Linked DNA regions of Arabidopsis thaliana. The protein of the gene in region 2 interacts with the protein of the main gene of each other region in a pairwise test. Each region holds a gene or a part of one and is shown on either strand. Other genes may lie near its edges.

Evidence for each region. Proteins that work in one complex are often made in the same cells at the same time.
Region 1: the proteins of LEP (region 2) and TGA7 interact in a two-hybrid assay, tested with the Arabidopsis thaliana proteins (one large-scale study listed by BioGRID).

What each region holds. Positions count from the first base shown.
Region 1 is NC_003070.9:29,295,480-29,303,535, reverse strand, and holds TGA7 (bZIP transcription factor family protein), read right to left. Parts: upstream 5,294-8,056; 5' UTR 4,896-5,293; intron 4,746-4,895; 5' UTR 4,696-4,745; intron 4,593-4,695; 5' UTR 4,578-4,592; coding exon 4,389-4,577; intron 4,299-4,388; coding exon 4,209-4,298; intron 4,103-4,208; coding exon 4,043-4,102; intron 3,965-4,042; coding exon 3,887-3,964; intron 3,781-3,886; coding exon 3,475-3,780; intron 3,396-3,474; coding exon 3,165-3,395; intron 3,082-3,164; coding exon 2,929-3,081; 3' UTR 2,591-2,928; downstream 1-2,590. Other genes in the region: AT1G77932 (FANTASTIC four protein, putative (DUF3049)), read left to right, coding at 195-527; AT1G77930 (Chaperone DnaJ-domain superfamily protein), read right to left, coding at 1,069-1,287, 1,373-1,510, 1,598-1,737, 1,817-1,891, 2,109-2,352; AT1G77910 (uncharacterized protein), read right to left, coding at 7,129-7,398.
Region 2 is NC_003076.8:4,479,959-4,486,457, forward strand, and holds LEP (Integrase-type DNA-binding superfamily protein), read right to left. Parts: upstream 3,290-6,499; 5' UTR 3,128-3,289; coding exon 2,492-3,127; 3' UTR 2,170-2,491; downstream 1-2,169. Other genes in the region: AT5G13890 (plant viral-response family protein (DUF716)), read right to left, coding at 1-914; AT5G13900 (Bifunctional inhibitor/lipid-transfer protein/seed storage 2S albumin superfamily protein), read right to left, coding at 1,388-1,518, 1,594-1,918; AT5G13920 (GRF zinc finger / Zinc knuckle protein), read right to left, coding at 5,973-6,499. UniProt on the Arabidopsis thaliana protein: Cell division-promoting factor involved in leaf blade differentiation, inflorescence branching, as well as in carpel and silique shape. Promotes the number of xylem cells.

The sequences.
Region 1 (8,056 bases), on a different chromosome or scaffold from region 2:
TTACGTATTTCTTTCTCTGTATACATCGTTTAGTTTCTCATAAAGAAAACTTCCAAAATGTAAGTAAAAGAATGGATGAATCTAACTCCTATTTAACTCAACCTCACTAACTCGATCTATAGACACAGAGAGAGCTTTCAAAATTTGGTAACATCGCTCTCAGTTCTCACTACCAAGAAAACTCGACCATCGTGATGTCATCTCTCTCCTACAACGGAGGCTACATTGGAAAAGAGAGCTGCTTCAACGCTTTCTCCGACAAGACCGGTGATGTCAAGTTGCCATGTGAGAGAAGAGAGGAGAAAAAGACAGTGGCGCGTGAGATAATGTCACCTCCAATGTTGCCGTCGCACGTGCCGTCGGTGCTGAAGCGAGAGTACACGAGTGATGGTCGGCTTTTACTCAAGGAAGAGAAAGTGTGTCGCAACGAGTATTTTCGAGCTCACAGATCCAACGGTCGTCTCATGATCCAGCTCGTCTCTCTTGATGAAGATGATGATCGGGATTCGGATGTTAAGAATTGTTGATGATCATCACTATCTTGAATGGAGGCAACTTTCTTTCTTGGAAGGCAAGTTACGTTGAAGTTTGAAGCCTTCAACATGTTTAACCTATTCACTAAAATATCATCAATGTTCTGATTTCTCAATCACCGTTCTGTTTAGTTTTGGTGGTTTCTTTTATTTTCATGTTCCTATAATCTCCGAAACTGAAAGAAAGTGGTTGTAATTTACCGGCTGAAATGGCTATTTGCCCAAATTAAGGTTTATAATATGATAATTATATTAAAGATTTGGGTATATGCCCTACTCATTGTTGCTCCGTCTGATTTGCTCTGCTTAGGTCTTCTTGGTCATTGCAATTGATGTTTCTCTGTTCTGTTTCTCAGGATGTATGTATTGGTACTTGTCTTATTTTTAATAATGAACCGTGCAGTGAAGATCTTGTAAATTGTCAAATATGATTATCTACATGTATGTTTATACTACAAGAGAGACAGAGAGGGAGCAAGTACCATGTGCTTAATTACTTGAAGTAGCTATAGAAGCTTCCAAAATGTTTGGAATCTTACTTTGCTGCTTCTTCCTCTTCTGCTTCGGTATCAAGCTCGAGACCTTCTGCTGCTAATAGCTGAGTGATGAGCTTTTTCTTATCTTCCTCTGCTTTCTTTCGCATCAGATCTCTTTTCTTCAACACTAGCGTGTGTCGCTTTAAAGTGCTGTTGAATAACTCTCTCGATGCTTTCTTCTCCTTCTCCAATATCTTCCTTTCTTCTTCCGGATCCACCTTAATAAGTTTCAAGATTCACAACAGAGCAGAAGAAAGTTACTAAGTTGGAAGAACAAGCTCAAAAAGACACATTATTTCTTACTTTAGAACGAGAAAGACGACGAGCACGCAGGTTTATATCAAGCTGTTGTTGCTCAGCCCAAGCGGCAACCGCCATGTCGCCCCTTTGATCAAAAGCTTTACGCTTTTTCATCAACCATTCCATCCAAGCTTGAGATGCCTACACAAACCCAACACATGTCATCCTTAAAACAATTTCAGAGGGAAAAAAGAAAACTTCAAGTTTATGACTCTTATATATACATACCTTCATCGGATTAACTCGGTTATCCATATCATATTGTACTTTCTTTTCCGAGTCCATGAGCAGCTCGTATGCAGCCTGAATCTTAATGAATCTTGCTTCTGCTGTCTCTCCTTCTTCAAGAGTCCCCTTTCCATCATAAACTAGACAAACAAAATACAGAATCAGAAACAGAGTTACAACTTTGTGACGACAAAGTGCTCTAAAGATCCAGAAAAGTACCATCAGGATGATAGAATTTGGCTAATCTTCTGTATGCTACCTTAATCTGTTCTTCCTCTGCATTTCTATCCAACTCTGTTACTCAAATTCATACAACATAGAACCATATCAGAAACACGAAACACAACACAAAGACTTCTTGTCAAATTCTTCTGACACAAGTCACAAACAGTAACCAAAACAACAGAACCACTCCAATGAATCGAATAGAATCACAAACTTGTGAATCAACAACCACATCAAAGGAAACTGTAAGATACATAAAATTCCCGAATTGGTAGAAGAAGCTTACCGAGAGTATCGTAAGGAGATTTCTCTTGGCTCCAATTCGATGCTCTAACTAGAGTCTTCCTCTGATTCAAACGAAACCAAAGATTCGAATTTTTAGACCTAAACCAAGACGAATTCGAACTCTGGTTTCTAAAGGCGACGTTTTTAATCGAAACCCTAAAAAGTGATCGACTTTGATGTCTACTACAACACACAATCGAAGAGAACACAGAGTATGGTCTACAGATAGCTCGAAGATTGCTCATAACTTCAAGTTCCAACCCAGAAACCGATCAATTTCGTAAACCCAGAAATCAAAATTCATATAAATCAAATTCCACCTCTTTATATGAACGAACAAGTAAGCTCACGAAAATGAAATTCCTGAAAAATCCAACCGAACAAGAGACTTCTTCTTTACTCTTTTCTTCAATTGAATTTTCTCATTTTCCTCAGAAAATTCCAACGGAAGTTTTTTTGTGGACGACTGAAGCGCAACGATGGGAAAATTACAATAGTACCCTTTGATTTATTGAGTTTCACATTAGTCCCTTAATAATACATTAAATATACATTCAGTACACATATTATCAAATTGCTCAGATTTCAAACTTATTTGTTGTATCTAAATATATTACAAAGTTTCAACCCAAATTTACAATCTTCTCTGGAGAGATACTTCATAAAGCAAAAACCATAAAGTTCTAATCAAGAGAATCTCACTCTACTTAATTAACAAAGATCTTTTTTAAAACATCCTTCCAAGCTTTGTGATGAGTATGCTTCTTCAAGACTTTTGATTCTGCTGTTTCTTGTTTTTAAAGTTTTAATAAGTTCCTCTTTTAAGTTGGTTCTTGTGGACGAGCTGCCCAAAGAGAACTAAGAGCACGAAGTCTATGAAGATACTCTCCTAAAGCTAGTAAACCTCGAGCCGATTGTCTTGTCGTTAAGATCTTCGCCATTTGTTGCAAAGTTTGTTGCCTCAGATGATCTGCCTGTTATAATCAGGATAGAGATGTTTGAAATAGAATGACACAAACTTTACTTAATTTGTTTTGAGTTAATGTTTACTACTTACTTGATTCACAAATCCTTCTAATGCTTGAAGATTCTCTATAGCTGCAGCCATGTGAGTGGGATAATGCGTGGACTCGATAACCGCATCAATCACAATGCTTTCAGCTAAACTCTGTTGAAGTTTATCAATCCCTTGAGACAGAGCATCCTCTGCTTGTTGTGATGATTGTTGGAGGTTTCTCACTTCCAAGATTTGTTGATCCGTTAATGGTTGAAGATAAGGCATCACAACCTACAAGAAAAGGGAAGGAGAAAATATTACATTTTGAAAATGTTTTTGTTAGAGATTGTAACATTTTGGGTATTTTTACGTTTAAAAGTTCGGATGGACGAAACCCTCCAATCCATTGGAAGAATCTTTCGGTTGAAGTTCGCCACATTCCCGATATCAAGTAGAAAACATCGGCTTTTGCTGCATCGGATTTCATTTGGAAAAGATTAGCGTAATGGTTCAAGCAACTCTCTACTAGCATCTTGAGTTCTATGTCGCTTATATGAGATTGAAGCGCTGTTCGTAGTTCGCTAACTCTTCTGCTTTGTTCTTGTAGCCAGTGTGAATATTCCATCTCAAATGATGCAATCCCTGTGTTAATACTCCCAGATGGTCCTAAATGGCCCTTGAAAGAAAACATTTAGTACTGAGTCAATTACGAAACCAAAACTGATTTTCTTGATAGAGACTCAAAACAGAACATTTTAAACATATCTTTTGACCTAGCTCACCTGCTGCTTAACCTTTTCGAGTTCTTGCTCTAACTGCGATAACTTTAACCGGCTTTCCTCTAACTGCTGAACATAAGCCTAAAGATACAAAAAAAAAGAGGACTTAGTAGCAACTAACTAAACTATATGAGATTCAATAAAGGGACTTGCTTCTACCTTCTTTCTCAAACGACTTTTGCGAGCCGCTTCTCGGTTCTGCGCTAAACGCCGTTTCATCTATTGGCATATGACAAAAGAATATCAATCAATATCACAAAAACCACCATTTTCTATTATGCATGTATAAAAAAGAAAACATAATTAGCTTTGTTTTGATCTAAACCTTATCATGAATCCTGCCATCATCATCTTGATTATCATTACTAGAAGGTTGTTCTGCTTCGATCTGGTTATGAGAAGAATCATAATTTATCTGCACGTGATTTAAAAACCCATTAGTAAAAAAACAAGTAACAACAACTTTCAAAAATCAATGAATCTTGAAAGAAGAAAACTAGTTAACCTTGATGTTGTTGTTGTGATCATCAATTCTAGGATCAACCTGAATAATAGAGGAAGTAGCAGTATTGGGACTATGATCATTGATATCAGATTTGAAAACATTTCCCCAACCGACAATTTGTTGAAATGGCTCATAGATTCCCATGTCTCTTAAAGATGCAAGTTGTGTTGGAGAAGAAGAACTCATCATCTCTATATATATCCTCTACATATCAAACCAATCATAGTTGGTAATTTAGAATCTTTCAAAAACATGCACAAGAATAGATCAAAGCAGAAAGAAAAAAGAAAGTTTTGTGTTGCCTCACCTTCAGTTATAGATCCAATAGCTGGCTCTTAAAAATTGCATTTGCTCTCACTGATACAAACCATAAACAGAATAAACTCTTAATCATTTTTAAAACTAATATAAAGTTTGGAACTAAAAAAAACACACGAGAAACTCCAAATTCTCCAAGATCCAAACGTTTCAAGTGAAAAACAGAGAGGGAGGGAAAATTTAACAAACCTTGATCGATAAGCAGAGATATTCATGAAGAATTTGAGAGCTGAAGAGTTAAAGATGCTTATGAAACACGTTTCTGGTTAATACAGAGATATTTTTCATTCGGACCACAGACATCAAATGGAAGAAGAAGTGTATTTCGTTCCTTTGAACACTTCCTGTCACAAAAAAAAAAAACTTAAAGGTCAAGAGTTCCCATCATGTAAAAGAGAGGAAAAAAGGATTTTTTTTTTTTGTTTTGGTCTTTTTCTATTTCATTTATTTGTGACCATCACGGCATCACCATTAGAGTAATATTTAAGTTAAAGAATTAATAATAGTAATCAAGTTTATTAAGAAATAATCACAATCAATTTAAAGGAACGAAACGTTTAACGACAAACAAAACGCAAGAGAGAGATGCATCTTTGGCAAAGCCGAGAAGGTGACCTTATCGTGCGCTTTAATTTCTGAGGTACGCACGACGTGATGTCATCTACCAAGAGCTGAAATACCTTCCGATGTCGACACGTACCAAGTTCAGTCGATTATTCCGGTGGTGTATAATTTATTTGCATTCCAGAATTGGAAAGAGTCTTATGTTTTAGGGTTCAAATAATAAATAGTTTTAACAGAACAAATATACTTTTCCCCCGTTTCTTTAAATTTTGGTATCGTGGGAAACTTTTGATTTATTGGTTGATCAAAGATTTAGTGCTTTTGACAGCAGCAACAGATTTTCTTAAACTATAGACAAGTTCGAAGTTTATCATAAATGTAGTGTATATAGAACCGTACGTTTTGTAGTATATATATAAATTGAATTGTCATATATGTAAAATCGTTTCATATGTTTCTATGTATGTTACGGCGATTTAAACATGTCGTAAATGATAAAATGATCATGATTTATACTATAATTAGAATATCTAAAGTTGAAAAGATTCATCCTTTTAAATATAAATATATATTCATAATCATAGCCCGAATTATCGTCTAACTGATCATGACCAATCCATAATTTTCGAAACCATTTTCACATCTTTTTGGACATGCACGCTGATGGGTCTGCAAAAGAATCAATGTCTTTTTCCCTATAAGTTAGGTTCATATAGGTGGTACAAAGATGTAGGATTTTCTTTCTTCAAATTTTATTTTATCAACGTTATGTTTTTATTTTCTTTCTTTTACAACTTTAGGTTTATTTTGAGGGGACCATAAGGTTTATGCAGTGGCGTCTTTATGCTTAGTCTCCTTCCCTGACTTAGTGACAAATAATTGGAGCTTTAATGGCCTACCAAACACAAAAGATAACATTTTTAAATCTCTTTATTATTTTAAAATTAGGAATCTTAATTAGTTCGGAACCACTTGTGTAATAAAAATCTGTGTGTTCGACAAAGACAAGCATGTTTGTTTATTTTCTTATTCAGTTTTATTTCCTCTCTTGGTTTTACTTTAATAAAGAGTCCCTCTATATTGTTTTTCCAATCTATATACTATAATAAATATGAATCGGTGCGGTGATACGCAAATAAATAAATACAAGAAAAGCAACAATATTGTATGATCCTGTCAGAATATCAATTGGCATCGCGAAAGATCATATATAGTTTGGCTTGATTTATTGGTAAATCGAAGTTCTTAGAAACTTACCGAGCTAACTAAGCCTTGGTCAAGAACCTAGATAATTTTAAAACTATATGCATGCATTATAGATATCATTGTTACGTCTTATAGTTGATGAAGAAAAAGAAAGTATGATTACAAAAGTTACGTACACACAATTCTACTTTAATTCATCACGAAGACACCGATCTTCCACTATTTTCATTATCTTCTTTCTCCTTTTTTTCGTTATGACTACAAAAGTTATGCATTTTATTGCTTTTCTCGTTATCTTCTCCGTACCTTTTTTAATCTCTTATTTCTTACATTCTTCTCAAGTACACTTTAAAAAAATATATCTTTCAAGATTGATATGGATTGCATTCTACTATTTTCAGACTATATTTTGCACCAGAAATAGTTTCTGTTTGTTTCCCGTTTTCTTGAAAAAAATAGTGGTTAGAAAATACACTTGAAACCAATCTAGGTGAATAAAACATGAAAACTTGTTTTTAGGTTTAAACCGCCGTAGGAAGAATAATCAAAGATATATCGTAACTGAGCAAATCAAAATTTCGAATCTATCATGCCCTGATGAGATTCTTGTGCACGCGAATGATCGATCATCAGACGTTCAAAAAAGGAAAAATTAAAATTCGAATATTTGTAAAATTGCTTCATGAAGAATACATAGTAAATATTCTCCATAAATTACAAAACAAAGAAGGAATATAAGAAAATCTATTAAAGGAGGCATATATATAAATATATATTTATATACTATAGTTCCTTTTATATAAACCGCATGTCGTTCAAAGATTCGAACTTGAACTGAACTGAGATTGATTCTCTTATTTCGCATTCCGAAAAAATGAATACATATTCTTTCATGTTGGTTAAACATGCAGTACAACCACATGATTAGTAATAATAAACTTTTGCTACAAAATCTTAAAATGAACACAGAATTTAAGAGATTAATATCTAAACTCTTAATATTATCTCCTTTGACTTACCGGAAGAGAAGCAAAAATAAAAATAATAATTTTTTTTGTTTCTTTCATAAATTATGAATAATTTAAAAGCAAAGGAAGGTGATGGGCTTCTTTTATCATTGCTTTTGTTCCCATTGTGTGGTATGAAAAAAGGAGCTGATTTTATTTGTTTGGTGACTAAGAATAAAAGGAGTATTTTTTGTTTTCTAATTGATAATTGTTATTGTGGTGTCCTTTCCTTTTAAAGACCAAACAAGCCGGAGGATATTCTCACGTCACACAAGTGCACATGACCTTCCTTCATTGTTGTATCATCAAACTCCATTAGGCAGATCAGTGACTCATAATGTCACCATATTTACTCCATTGCCTGCTAATTTACATAATTATCTGTGTTTCATAATTACAGAAGAAGGTATCAAAGATTTAAATAATAAAGCTCCATATGTGGTTTTTCTAAGGTATCACTAGAATTGAGGATGCCTTGGGTATGAACAAATGACATATCGACAATCTGGGTTCCTGCCAAAATGTATTGTCCTGTTTTCGTGAATCACGGGTATTAAAATAAACGTGTCGATA
Region 2 (6,499 bases):
AACGACTTCATCTGAATGTGATTAGAATCAGCATTGTTAGTCGGCAAAGCTTCATAAGAACCAGTTCTTCTCACTCCGGCCGCCATCACCACCATCGTGTAAGTCACAAAGATGAGGATAACCACAAGCACGACGTGTACAGTGAACATTAGATCCAATATAGAAACAGCTCTTAGCTTAGAGTCCTGAATATCACATTGGGTTGATCCTTCAACACCGCTTTGAACATCAAGAAGACGATGACATCCCTCAGGAATAAACCCATCAACGTAGAGAGAGAGTCCAGTCTGAAGCTGCCAGAGACCTTGAAGACAAATGGCAGCAGCGAGAGCAGCGTCAGCAATAAAGAGTCTTGAACGGCAAGCGAGAAGCAAACAGAGGAGAGAGCATAACGCGGAGATACGAGCAGAGAGGGAATCACAATGAGCTTGAAGATCAGATGTTTGAATTGCAGCTGATGAAGACGCGGCGGAGTAATGGAGGAAGAAACCAACGGAGGCGAGTGCGAAGAGGAGATCGGAAGGGAGAGGGATTAACGAGGTTGAATCGGAGAGGAGATAGTAAATGGCGATGATGAGGAAGAGGAAGAACACGGCGGCGGAATTGAGAGATGAGAATCGGTGAACAGGAGTACTTCCTTTGACGAGAGGATCGGAGTAGAAGGAGATTAGGGTTTCGTGAAGGAAAGCGACGAATAGAGAGAGTATGAGGATGAACAGTGGTAGATTTTGGAGGCGGTTGTGATTGTGGTGGTTGTTTCCGGTGACGGAGGAGAGACGTGGAAAAGGGTAAAAGGGTTTCGCGGCGTAGGATTGGGGAGATTTAAGGAGATGGAAGAAAGTGCAGATGAGATGATACAATCCTAGGGTTAGTAGTGACGCTGAAGCGAAGAGCTTGTACATCATCTCTCCCATTTTCGAAGCTTGATTTTAGGGTTTTGTTGTTGTTGGTCGGGATTTGTATGACTGATAAACTTTCTCCGATCTGCTTAAGAGAGGTAATAGAGAGGACGATCTGGTCAACTGCTCCTTTAAGTTGACCGGTTAGTATTGTTAAACCAGCTGACTTTTTCGGTTATTTGACAATTAATTGCACTATTTAAACCGGTTTTATAATGGATTTTCCCGGTAGTTGGTAATTCAATATTGTATTTGTCAGGAAGAGATTGATTGGTGCTTGATTTGTTGCAACATGACTACATGAGCATGATGTTTCACATTCTTAACTAATAGAAATGGATTTAGACTATTTATGGGGACGAAGTGGTACATACAATGTGTTGGTGACGACCAATAATCATAATTAACTAATAGAGCATTAAAAAAACAAAGAATCAACCGTCTTAATTAAGCAAAGCAAAGCAAAGCTGCTATAGACAATGAGAGATTCAGCTAATTATGTGATGGCAATATGACAAAACAGTGGCTGCAATAGCTAATGTTGTCATCCAATAGGACTGAGAAAAGGTGTTGCCAATGGAGGAACTTCGGTCTGAGTTTGTAGATCCTCCTCTAGAACCTGCAAGAACACAAAATATTCATGAAACATCTTTTGATTGAAAAAAAAAGAAAGAACTAAGGTTTGAGTGTGTACGAGTCAAGCAAGCAATGGGATTGACATGTTCTCCACATCGAGCAGGCAACATTTGAGCATCATTGACATCGATGCCAGCTCGCTCGGCTTGAGAACTCCAACGGTTACTAATCATACGGCACAAGCACTCTGGATTGTTCCTTATCACTGATTTGAGAGGATTACAACAAACTTGAGGTACTTCCTTGGTCCCATTCAGGTAATTTAGGCATGGAGCAAGTTGGTTTAGACACGAAACGCTCTGCCCATTTATCCGCATCCCCGAGCTAGCTGCAACTAGAAGAAGTACAACGTAAAAAGAGAAAAACTTCATCCCCATCATCATATCACCTTAGTTTACTATTTTGAGTGTTACTAAAACACTTTTGTACTTGTTTAATTTTTATGTTTGGTGACCAGCTTTTAAGATAGGTAGACATGGTTCACCAGTCAAACCTACTACCACCGTTTGACCATCCTCAACAGGTAAGTTACCAGAAGAACCCATCAAATATGAAATAATTTTACATTACGTAAGCAAATACCAAAACCACAGAAGTAGAATAACAAATTGTTATTCCATCCTAGAATATAGTTCTCGTTCAACCATAAGAAAAACACACAGAGGTTTGGGCTATACAAAGTATGTCATGCCAACTAATAACCCATCGAATAATGGGCTTTTGATGTCCAAGGCCCATATATATTAAATATGTATTTGAAAGTAACACAAGAGCAGTTTCTTGTTTTCATTAATCAAGATACAAATGATAACTTGTTATTGAAAAACTAATGACAAACAGTCACTTTGATCACATAGGCAGAGATCAAGGACGGCGAAACATAGATAAACCCAAAAAAGAAGAAGAAGGAAAAGGTACAAATGAGGAAGGTATTAAATATGGACGATGAGAAAGAATTAGGAGCCAAAGTAGTTGAAACCTTGAGGGAAAGAGTCAGAAACCGGAGGCATTCTGCTGAACATTGGACTATGTACGTACTCAGACGAGTAGTCGTCACCGGTCCAGGTCCACTGTGGTTGGCTATAACACGAATTCGACAAGTCGCTCGGGAGAGGAGGCAGCTCATTACTACTGTCATTAGAATAGCAATAAGAATTCGAAGATTGAGAGCCACCAAACATGTAACTGTCCACTTGATCACAATGAGGCTGAAGCATTGGCGAGTCAGTGGATGAGTATTGGTTAAACATCATCATGTAATCGACAGGATCATTGCTAGGAGGAGCAGGAGGAGGTGGAGGAGGAGGAGGATCGTCAGGAGAAACAATGGAGGTGACGGATGAGGAAGGAGGCATGTCTGAGTAAACAAAGTTGGTTCTGGCACGTGTGCCACGCATGGACCGAGCAGCTCTATCGTAGGCCAAGGCAGCTTCTTCCGCCGTATCGAAAGTGCCAAGCCAGTGACGCTCCTTCGTAGTTGGGTCTCTAATCTCAGCTGCGTATCTTCCCCAAGGCCTTCTTCTCACCCCAAGAAACCTTGTACCAACCTGATCGTCTTGCTTCTTCTTGCTCTTTGATGATGTTGTGTTCATCTTTCTAATAATGATACTATACCTTTATGCATACACAGATCAATAAATGTCCGATATATCTATCTTTTTTCTAGTTGAAGGAAGAGAGGGAATGTGTGTTGGTCTTGGAAAAGTATCCCTTACCACAACCCTTTTATATAAGAGCTATACCTTTCCTTTTTCTCTCTCTTTTTTCATTGTGTATAATTCTTTTATATATCTTTTTATTCCAATTGAAACAACATTTAAAAATGGCTCTGTGTTGAGTTAATTGTGGCCCATGATATATCAATTATCAGTCAATCAAAAGTATATAATTATGATTAAGTTACCACTTGATAGCATGTTTCATGCATTTCTCAAGGTTGTTCTACACTAGTGATTTCATTTTTATACATGGTTAATTCTGCTAAAATATAATGCTGAGTTCCGACTGCCTTTAATCATACAAGTGCTAATATATCAACTCAATCAATTACAATAGTAATACATAAGAGCTTCTTTTTGTTAGGTGATGTATATATTAGAGAAGAGAGTGAAAGAATAACAAAGAAATTAGGATCATTATCAAAAATAACTTAAACAAATACAATCCGTTAGCATATTATATATAAATATCGATAGATACACATAATCATCATTCATCAACAATAATAAGCTGAAACAAAGGGATTAGGAATGATAAGAGCCATGATTAGCATGTTACCTTAGATACCAGTGTCCCGAGTCTAATAATAATAACATGTCCGAATTGATTAACAAATTAACGAGAGATAACGTAATAGATAAACTATTCAATTCAGAGAATATATTTGGTATAACGCGTCCAAATACTACTGCATGTGATGGTCCATATTGAATGATGGAATGTGCATGAACTGCGAATTTAACATGAAAAAGAGAAGCAAACCCTGATTATTGCATATATGAAAACGCAAACACTTTCCGTCTTATCAATCATACAACACATAAAAAAACAATGAGTTTGGTGTTTTGGTTAAAGTTAATAATTGGTAAAGAAGGGTGCAATGATGGCCGCATGATGGAAGGTAGTCGACTAAATTATGAGGAGGAAAGTCATTACTTAAGCAGCTATTATATCATTATATGTGTATTAATCTTGTATTACTAATACGTCAGAGTAGGGTTTTGACTTTTGACCAACACAAAATTAAAAGAGTTGAAGTCTCATGCATTAGAGAGAGATTATGATATTTGATATGAGTATCTAAGGAAGCAAGTGGTAGCCTTTCTAAGACGATCTTATTTTGTGTCAGAGGAAGACCAAAGACCATTTATGTTTATGTTTGGCTACACGACCAACGTTATGGACGGTGATAGTGGATCGTATCATTTCTTAATCTTTTATAATATATACGTCCCATTTGTCTACATGTACAATAATCACAATGTGTGTTAGCGTTAATTAATTAGAGATTAGTCAAAAACAATATAGGGGTAGTGCATGTGCTCCCAATTTTATAGGCTGCAACTTCAATGAATATTGCCACACCCTTTTTCTTTCATCTCCCACTTTCTAATCCCAAGGCATCTATCTATTTCCTTATAATTTAATCATTTATGTGTTTGTCCTCTTGGCTATGAATATGATATCGTCTCTTCCTAAATTCAGTTTCTCAAATTATATATATTCTGACCAAAATACTCCATTCATATTCATTTGCTATATACTATTTTAAAACAAACATGCATTATTGAGAACAAAGGAATTTGGGTTGCATGTGAGCAATCTTTTATGCTTTTGAAATTTTATCTTTAATCTTAATTTCATTGGAGTAAACAAGCCCTATAATTTATGTTCCCTCACTTTTGACCAACTCTCATTTTTCTCGTTTAATTTTATATTCTAAAGTCCAATCTTGATGCATTGAATCTTGTTTACATTTACGTTCCGCTTCTATTCTCTATCGCCTCTTATTATTCTCCGATATCCACAGACCACAGGTTTCTTTACTTAATTAGTACTACGTTCTCATGGTCTACGGTGGAATATTAGTACATGTAAGAACTATATAAAATGTATCAATGGACAAAATATTTATACGAATCCTACTTAATTAGGATTTAGGTCAAGAGCCCTAATTAAGCCCTCCCAGTCAGATCACCGCCTTTTTCACTACCATCACTACTCTTAAGTGACTTCGGCATTTGCAATACCATTCTCGAACGTTGTATGTAACGTCCTCGAACAACTGGAGATATACACAAGCTGACAAGTGAACACATGCATATCCCAATTCTTAACTATATCAGTTTTATGGAAATTGGAAGGATGTTTTGTTCTATGGTCCGAGTCTCAAATTGACGAAACTAGCAATTCTCTATAACTCATCTCGAACTATTCTTGATGCAAATAATTTGATGATCAATTATCTGAGGGTTTGGGCCTCTAATTGTGTTAGTTTAGTAGAAACTAGAAAGAAAAAAAAAGGGAAGAAAGAAGAGAAGGCATGTGCGCCCAACGTGGAAAGGCATTTTCTTGGACGCTTAACATAATTAATCCTTTTTCTAATTATTGCCTAACACAAACATCTTTTGTCTTACTTAAATCTAATTACTCTTTTAATCAAACGACCATGTGATGAGCGCACTAAGTAGATTCATAATTCTCAACCACATTCAAAAGTTAAAAACAAAGTATGTCTGCTTTTGGCTCATCTAAACCTGAAGGTGACATGGGAGAAAATTTAGGGGCACGAGCTTTGCAGTCACCTATCAATTAATCCATTAATCTAACTAGTCTATACACGTTATCCGATGAAGAAGTGTAAAATGTTGGAATTGCCGAGTTAAAATAAAAGATAATTACCTTCCAACACTTGCAAGGGCACTAATATGCAAATGCTCAGGTTCTTCTTCTCTTTAGACCAACAAACTCATTTTGCTTAAACACTTCTACTTCTTTTCCTAGTTTATCTGCAGTTTCCTGCATCCTCTTCTGAGACTCAGCCATTTCTCCAGCCACTTCCCTGCAACTTGCTCCAAATTTTAATGTCTCAGCTTCACAACAAACCATCTCCTTCTCTGTTTCAAGTAAAGTTTTCCTGAGATGACTAGTTTTCTCATGAAGTAACCTTAGTCGCCTGTACGAAGCCATAAATTCACTCAACATTTGTACATGTTTCCCTGAAATACTCTCCAATTGAAGCTTCTCTGAGTTGTACTGATCAATTAGGTTCTGCAAGCAAGGGAATGACCACTCAGCTCCATCAATTTCAGGTTGCTCATGGTTTGTCCTTCCATGTATCACAACAGAACCACTAGAGACCGTATCTCTGATCAAATCACTCATCGCTTCATCCACACTCAACTTAGAAAGAGCACTATTTGTTGGCTGATCACCATTCTGAGTCTTTTTCCATGGCTCTTCAG